2 linked regions of the Macaca mulatta genome follow. The main gene of each other region encodes a partner of the protein of the gene in region 2 in a complex. Links are inferred from orthologs where the notes say so. Each region holds a gene or a part of one and is shown on either strand. Other genes may lie near its edges.

Evidence for each region. The genes of interacting proteins can lie anywhere in the genome.
Region 1: BCAS2 (region 2) and CTNNBL1 share a complex: the UniProt entries of both Homo sapiens proteins name them as parts of the PRP19-CDC5L splicing complex. The link is inferred for Macaca mulatta from reciprocal best matches to the Homo sapiens genes BCAS2 and CTNNBL1.

Annotation. Positions count from the first base shown.
Region 1 is NC_133415.1:90,599,201-90,602,850, reverse strand, and holds part of CTNNBL1 (beta-catenin-like protein 1), read right to left. Parts: intron 2,386-3,650; coding exon 2,279-2,385; intron 1-2,278. UniProt on the Homo sapiens protein: Component of the PRP19-CDC5L complex that forms an integral part of the spliceosome and is required for activating pre-mRNA splicing.
Region 2 is NC_133406.1:125,671,632-125,675,351, reverse strand, and holds the start of BCAS2 (pre-mRNA-splicing factor SPF27), read right to left. Parts: upstream 2,823-3,720; 5' UTR 2,799-2,822; coding exon 2,706-2,798; intron 2,599-2,705; coding exon 2,506-2,598; intron 1-2,505. UniProt on the Homo sapiens protein: Required for pre-mRNA splicing as component of the activated spliceosome. Component of the PRP19-CDC5L complex that forms an integral part of the spliceosome and is required for activating pre-mRNA splicing.

The sequences.
Region 1 (3,650 bases), on a different chromosome or scaffold from region 2:
AGACACAGTCCATCTCCTAAAAGGAACAGAGTATAATGCAGGAACCACTGAGTACAGAAATAACAACAAAACAAATGGCAAAGATGTTAAAGACTGATCACATGCATTGTGGGCAAGAACACAAGAAAAGAGATGCTGCTGCTGGAGGAGAATTTAAAAATAGAGTGAGAAAATTAGCAGTAGCCATCATTAAAATGTACATACCCTTCAATCCGGGAATTCCAAATTTACGTATCTATCCTACGGAAACATATGCACACAAAGACACATATACAAGTAGGTACACTATAGCATTCTTCATAAAAGTCAATATTTAAAATAATAAAATGTCCATCAATAGAAAATAACTAAATAAGTCATGGTATTTCCAAACCATGTAATACTATGCACCAGTTAAAAAAAAACACAAGGTAGACATGCCTGTACTACCATGGACAGATCTGTTATATGACCCAAAAGATCAAGGTGCAGAATATGTACGGTGTGATTTGAGTAGAAACAAATACATTCGCATAATTAACTGTTCACAAGGTTCCTCTAGGCAGAGGAATAGAAAGAGATCAGAGTAGTGAAGGAGAACTTTCATTTTTCACTCTACTCATGTACCACTGGTATTTTCAGAATGACAATCTATTCATGCATTACTCGTGTAATTACACACACACACACAAACACACACACACACACACAGTGCTCCTGTATGGTGGAGATCAGTACAAAACCTGAAAGGACTCTGGTGCTGGGTAAGCTGGGCCCTGCTCTATTAATAGCTATTCCTACTATCAAAGAGGGCTGTGGCCCTAGGCCCAGTAACCACATTCTCCCCACCCTGCCTTCTCATTCACAGCATAGGGACAACACAGTTGACCACGCTGGCCTCACTAGGTTGCCGTGAAGACTCTGTGCCCTCTGACACCTCTGGGCCTTTGTTCATGCTCCTCATATTGCCTGGCATGCCTTTCTGTGTTCTTTTCTGCCTAATAAAAATGAATCTTCAAGGCTCAACTCAACTACTATCTTTTCTGTGACGCCCTCAATAGCTCCCAACTTGGTATATACTGTTTCTTCTTCTAAGCACCCACAGAACTCTGCTCATATCTCTTTTCAAGTGTCTGTTTCCTTCTACCTTGCCTTTATAGTCAGTCTCCCTAGTAACCTATAAACTTGAGTGCAAAGACTTTACTACTCAACTGTTAATTGCCTGGGGGCCTTGGGCATATTAAGATTCATTAAAATTGTATGTCCTGGGAGGGACAAAGATAGGGAGAGAAAGAGAGGTTTAGAACATTAAAACTGTATAAATGTGAAAGTCCCCTTGGTTAGGATTCAAGACAGACTGAAAGATGCCAGATTCCTCATATTAGCACTTCACAGTGCACCAAGGTGCTAGTGCAGTAAAACTCACGTTAACTGTCATCTCATGGGCACCTACTATGTGCCAGGTACTAAGCTAAACACTTACCATTATTCTCCTTTAATCTTCATACAACTCTGTGAGGAAGGCATTATTTCCTTATACAGATGAGACACCCAAGGCTAAGAAAGGGGAAGTGACTTATTCAAAGGCATGTGTGTATCACACCAATATTTGTCTAACTTCAGAGTCTTTGACATGATCTCCACAGTAAAGCTATCACTAATGGCAGGCACGATCCGTCTTCTTTGGGCATTGAAAAGAATAATGCAGGAGAGTTAACATAGCAGGGCTGATCTTGAAAAGGGCTGGCTTACAAGGCTGGCCCTAGGCTGGCAGCCAGGAACTTGGCTTTTGAAATGTTCCCTAAGTGATAAGGTTGCTGCTTTGTCAGCCCAGGGCACTGAACAGCTGCTTTCCTTCCAGGAGCCTACAATTGTGTTAGTTATTACTGGCAGAGAATGCCTACATGAGCAGTCCTCCATAAAAACCCTGAACTCAGAGTCTCAATCTGTATCACTGCACACATGTTTGCATTTCACTGCTGAAGAAAGAAGCATGTCTGTATGATCCCCCCCACTGGGAAGGAAAAAACATAGGAAGCCTGGATCTGAATTTCTCCAGACGCCACCTGATGTTGTGTTTCTCCCTTGCTGATCCCGTTGTGTGCCCTGTGTAATAAACCACAGCCCTGAGTATCACTGACTTTGAGTCCTAGGAGTCCTTCTAGTGAATTCCCAAACATGGAGGTCATCCTGGGATTCCTGGCCCCAATCACAAAAGCCAAAACAAACCAAACCCAAAACAAAAGTAGCCAACGAAACGCCACAGAGGAGACAGGGTGTCAGTAGAACAGAACCTTACTTCTCTGGATTGTCTGGAAACTTAATCCGCAATTCTTGGTTTTTATATGATCTCTTTTCAAATGTGAGGATCATTTTCTTCACTGAGCTTTCATCCAATGGCTCCTCCTGGTACAAAGAGACAAATGCAACAACTTCAGTCCCCAGGGGTTTCACATTCACTGTCACTACTTTCCGGTGGCTCTTATACCCCACCTCACTCTGCCATTGATCTTTCTGGGTTAAATGTACAGTACACACCTTTTTTTCTGAGATGGAGTCTCGCTCTGTCGCCCAGGCTGGAGTGCAGTGGTACGATCTCAGCTCACTGCAATCTCCACCTCCCAGGTTCAAGCAATTCTCCTGCCTCAGCTTCCTGAGTAGCTGGGACTACAGGCACATGCCACCACGCCTGGCTAATTTTTTTTTGTATTCTCAGTAGAGACGGGGTTTCACTGTGTTAGCCAAGATGGTCTCGATCTCCTGACCTCATGATCCACCTACCTCAGCCTCCCAAAGTGCTGGGATTACAGGTGTGAGCCACTGTGCCCGGCCACAGTACACACTTTATCTCCCCGATTACAATGAGGATTAAGGGCCTGTAATCACATGTTTCTTTTTGTGTATATCACTTTCGATGTCTCACATAATGCCCACTATCTGTAACACAGGAAATTCAGTTTGAGGTGTTAAACACTGACTGGGCACTTCGGCACTTCAGCACTTCAGGAGGCCAAGATGGGTGGATCACCTGAGGTCAGGAGTTTAAGACCAGCCTGGCCAACATGGAAAAACCGTTATCTCTACTAAAAATACAGGCACACGCCTGTAGTTCCAGTTACTCGGGAGGTTGAGGCACAAGAATCACTCGAACCCCGGAAGCGGAGGTTGCTGAGATTGTGCCACTGCACTCCAGCCTGGGTGACAAAGGGAGACTCCATCTCAAAAAAAAAAAAAAAAGAAAAGGTGTTAAAGACTCACTCATTCAACAAACATTTCTTGAGCACACTGTGTGGCACAGAGTAAGCAACAATATTAGATAATATTATTATACATTTACCTTGTCTTCCTTTGCTATCCATGTAAGATAAGACTGAAAGGTTTAAAAGAATTGTTTAAGGTCAAACTCTGGGTCAGTGACAGTGACCCTTAATCTTTTCCTACAGCAGAAGTTAGCAAACTGCAGCCCATGAGCCAAATCCAACCTACTGCCTGTTTTTGTACAGTGCGTTAACTAAGAATGGTTGTTAATTAGCTACAGTCACTGCTGAGCATTTCTTATATATTACTTTGCCTGGTCCTTACTAGATGCTGAGAAGGAATTCAGACAGGTACTTTGAATCCTGAAGTAGCATCAAGAATTTAGTAACCCTGCCTAGAGAATGCAGAAAAAA
Region 2 (3,720 bases):
AGGAGTTCGAGATCAGCCTGGCCACAATGGTGAAACCCTGTCTGTACTAAAAATACAAAAATTAGCTGGGCATGGTAGTGCATGCCTGTAATCCCAGTCACTTGGGAGGCTGGGGGAGGAGAATCGCTTGAACCCAGGAGGCAGAGGTTGCAGTGAGCCAAGGAGTTGCATGCACTCCAGCCTAGGTGACAGAGCAAGACTCTGTCTCAAAAAAAGAAAGGATTAAATAATCAGTAAACTAATTACAGGAGAATCATTTGAACCCAGGAGTTTGCTAATTAAATAATCAGTAAACTAATTACAAAGGTATTTGAGAGAAGGAAAAAAACTGGCAAAAGTATTATAAGAAGTCTGTGATTGAATGCAGTTATTTGAAAACGTCAGAAATCAGTCCAAGAAGCATTACTGTACTTAATTCTCTCTCTCTTTTTTTTTTTAATGAGATGGAGTCTCGCTCTGTCGCCCAGGCTGGAGTGCAGTGGCGCCATCTTGGCTCACTGCAAGCTCCGCCTCCCGGGTTCAGGCCATTCTTCTGCCTCAGCCTCCTGAGTAGCTGGGACTACAGGCACCCGCCACCATGCCCAGTTAATTTTTTGTATTTTTAGTAGAGGATGGTCTCGATTTCCTGACCTCGTGATCCACTCGCCTCAGCCTCCCAAGGTGCTGGGATTACAGGTGTGAGCCACTGTACTTAGTTCTTAACGTGGTTAACATCTACACCTAGGTAACAATATTTGGAAAAAGCATAGGAAAACACGTTCATAGAAACATATGTCTTCTACTTAAAACTTAGCCAAGGCAGGGCGTGGTGGTTCACCCCGTATCCCAACACTTTGGGAGGATGAGGTGGGCGGATCACTTGAGGCCAGGAGTTCAAGACCAGCCTGGCCAACGTGGTGACACCCCATCTCTACTGAAAATACAAAAATTAGCCAGGCATGGTGGCTGGCACCTGTAATCCTAGCTGCTCGCGAGGCTGAGGCAGGAGAATCACTTGAGCTCGGAAGGTGGAGGTTGCAGTGAGCAGAAATGGCACCACTGCACTCCAGGCTGGGTGACAGAGTAAGACTCCGTCTCAAACAAAAACAACAAACTTAACTATTTTTTCATGTTACTTTAATGTAAATAATATCTTTTTTTTTTTTTTTCCCTCTGAGACAGGATCTCAGTCTGTCGCCAGGCTGGAGCGCAATGGTATTATCATGGCTCACTGTAGCAGCCTTGAACTTCCAGGCTCAAGTGATCCTTCCACCTCAGCCTCCTGAGTGGCTTGGACTACAGGTGCATGCCATCATGCTTGGCTAATTTTTTAGTTTTTCTTTTGTAGAGAAAGGGTCTCACTATGTTGCACAGGCTGGTCTCAAGTGATCCTCACACCTCAGCCTCCTAAAGTGCTGGGATTACAGGTGTGAGCCACCACACCCAGCTAAGTACTGCCTTTTAATAATACAATCCTTTCATAAATAAACGATTAGGTATAATGGGAAAAAAACCTCCAAGCTGTACATATTGAAATACTTGAATCCAATAATTTAGAAATAACTTACATTTCACTTAGCTAATTAGACCCTAACTAGAATCTTGGGTGTACTTCAAGGTTATACATTTAAAATAGTATCATACTCACTGTGTGCAGTAGAACAGCATCTGACTCCCTAGGCAAGCATGGGCACTCCTTTCTCTAATTCTCTTGTCCTTATATATACCTCCACTACAGGTCCTTTACATATTATTACACATTTATACATACTATTGTAAACTTTCTGTTTTATATATCTAGCTCCTCATTGTATTGTATTTTTCTGTATTCAGAAACCCTATCTTTTTTTGGAGACGATGCTTGTCTTAAATAAAGAAAAGAAAAATTAAAATACAGCAAAATACATATTTTTTTAAAACCCAGATATTTTTATCTCTATGATTTCAGAATCTAGAATGGCACCTAGCACTTGGAAAGTATTCGTATCAGGGAAAGTTCTTGCCTACATTAATCAGAACTGTGTTAATAAAAACATCGGACAGATTATAGAAAAAAGGAGAAGGCTGAGAAAAGAGTAGTATACACTTGGATATGGTTTGTCCCTTCAGTCATACCACAAACGTTTGGTAAATAACTAGACTTTAATACGCCACTCTCCAGTGGTTCTAAAGAGCTTAGGTAATTAGGCTTATACATACTAAAAAATTCTAGATCACCTGCTGTAGAGTGACTCTTGGCAGGAGAGGGTCCCTTTGAGAATTTACGCATGGATCCTATCTCAAAGAATTGTGGCCACAAATTTTTGCATTAAGTGAGTCGTGGAGTCCCAGAAAGTCTTCCTATGGATCTTAGAATAAGAACCTCGGAGAAGACTTATCTATCTAGCTGTTTTCAACAGACTGGTACCTATGCAGGCAATGGTTAAAACTGGAATTTAAAAATCACTTTTACGTAGCTGAAGCTCTCAATCCAAAATAAAGGTTCACAGGAATCCTCGTTCATACCCGGGCTCAAGACATACTTACTTCAAAGGCAGAATAATCCGGGGCTGTTAGGTAGCTCAGGTAGTTCTTAGTAGGTCGGTATCTGCGAGTTTCCTCCTCCACCAGCGCTGCAGCCTTAGAAAGAGAATTGGGGCCAGGGTAGAAGCGGCAAATTGTAACATGTTTCTTTCGGTACCGAGCCAGCGAACAGTGAGTCAGCTACAAAGACACCCCGCACTCACCGCTTCCCGCACACCAGGGGCTTCATAACCTTGATCAAAATACGGCAGCGCATCCACCACAACCTCTCCGGCCACCAAACCCGTGCCCGCCATTCTGAGGACCTCAGGTTTGCCTGCGTTTTCTGCGTCTGCGTAAACTGAGTTCTATTTAGATACGCCGGCGCCTGACACTGATGTAATCACGTTCCCGGCATATTGACGTTCGCGCATGCTCAGTTGCTAATTTTGAAGGCGGGTCCGCCCGGTATCTAGAAATTGCCGGGCTGCTTTGTTTTGGGCGGACGTGACGTCAGTCTTGGCTTCATTGCGTCAGCGGAAGGCCTCAATTTCCTGTCTTCTGCTTACTGTATTTTTTTTGCCAGCGAATGGTGGCGATTTGAAGTTAGGGCTTTTCGTTTCCTCCAAAACATTGATATCTGGAACGGGAGCCCCTTAACACTTTCGGAGGGAACTGGCTGCAGGATTTGACGGGGAGAGATAACTGATTTCCCACCTCTGCTTACTGCCACCGTCTCCCCTTAATCTTCTCTTCCTCTGTGCCGGACTTCTTTCTTTTTATTATGGACACACGCTCTTGTTCTGCTGCCCAGGTTGGAGTGCAGTGGCGCGATCATAGTTCACTGCAGCCTCAACCCCCCCAGGCCCAAGCGATCCTTCCACCTCAGCCTCCTGAGCCGCTGGGCCTAGAGGTGCACACCACCACGCCTGGCTAATTTTTAATTTTTTTTTTTTTTTTTTCGAGACGGAGTCTCACTCTGTCGCCCAGGCTGGAGTGCAGTGGCGCGATCTCGGCTCACTGCAAGCTCCGCCTCCTGCGTTCACGCCATTCTCCTGCCTCAGCCTCCTAGTAGCTGGGACTACAAGGCGTCCGCCTCCATGCCCGGCTAATTTTTTGTATTTTTTGTATTTTCACCGTGTTAGCCAGGATGATCTCGATCTCCTGACCTCGTGATCCGCCCGCCTCGGCCTCCCAAAGTGCTGGGATTATAGGCTTGAGCCACAGCGCCCGGCCATT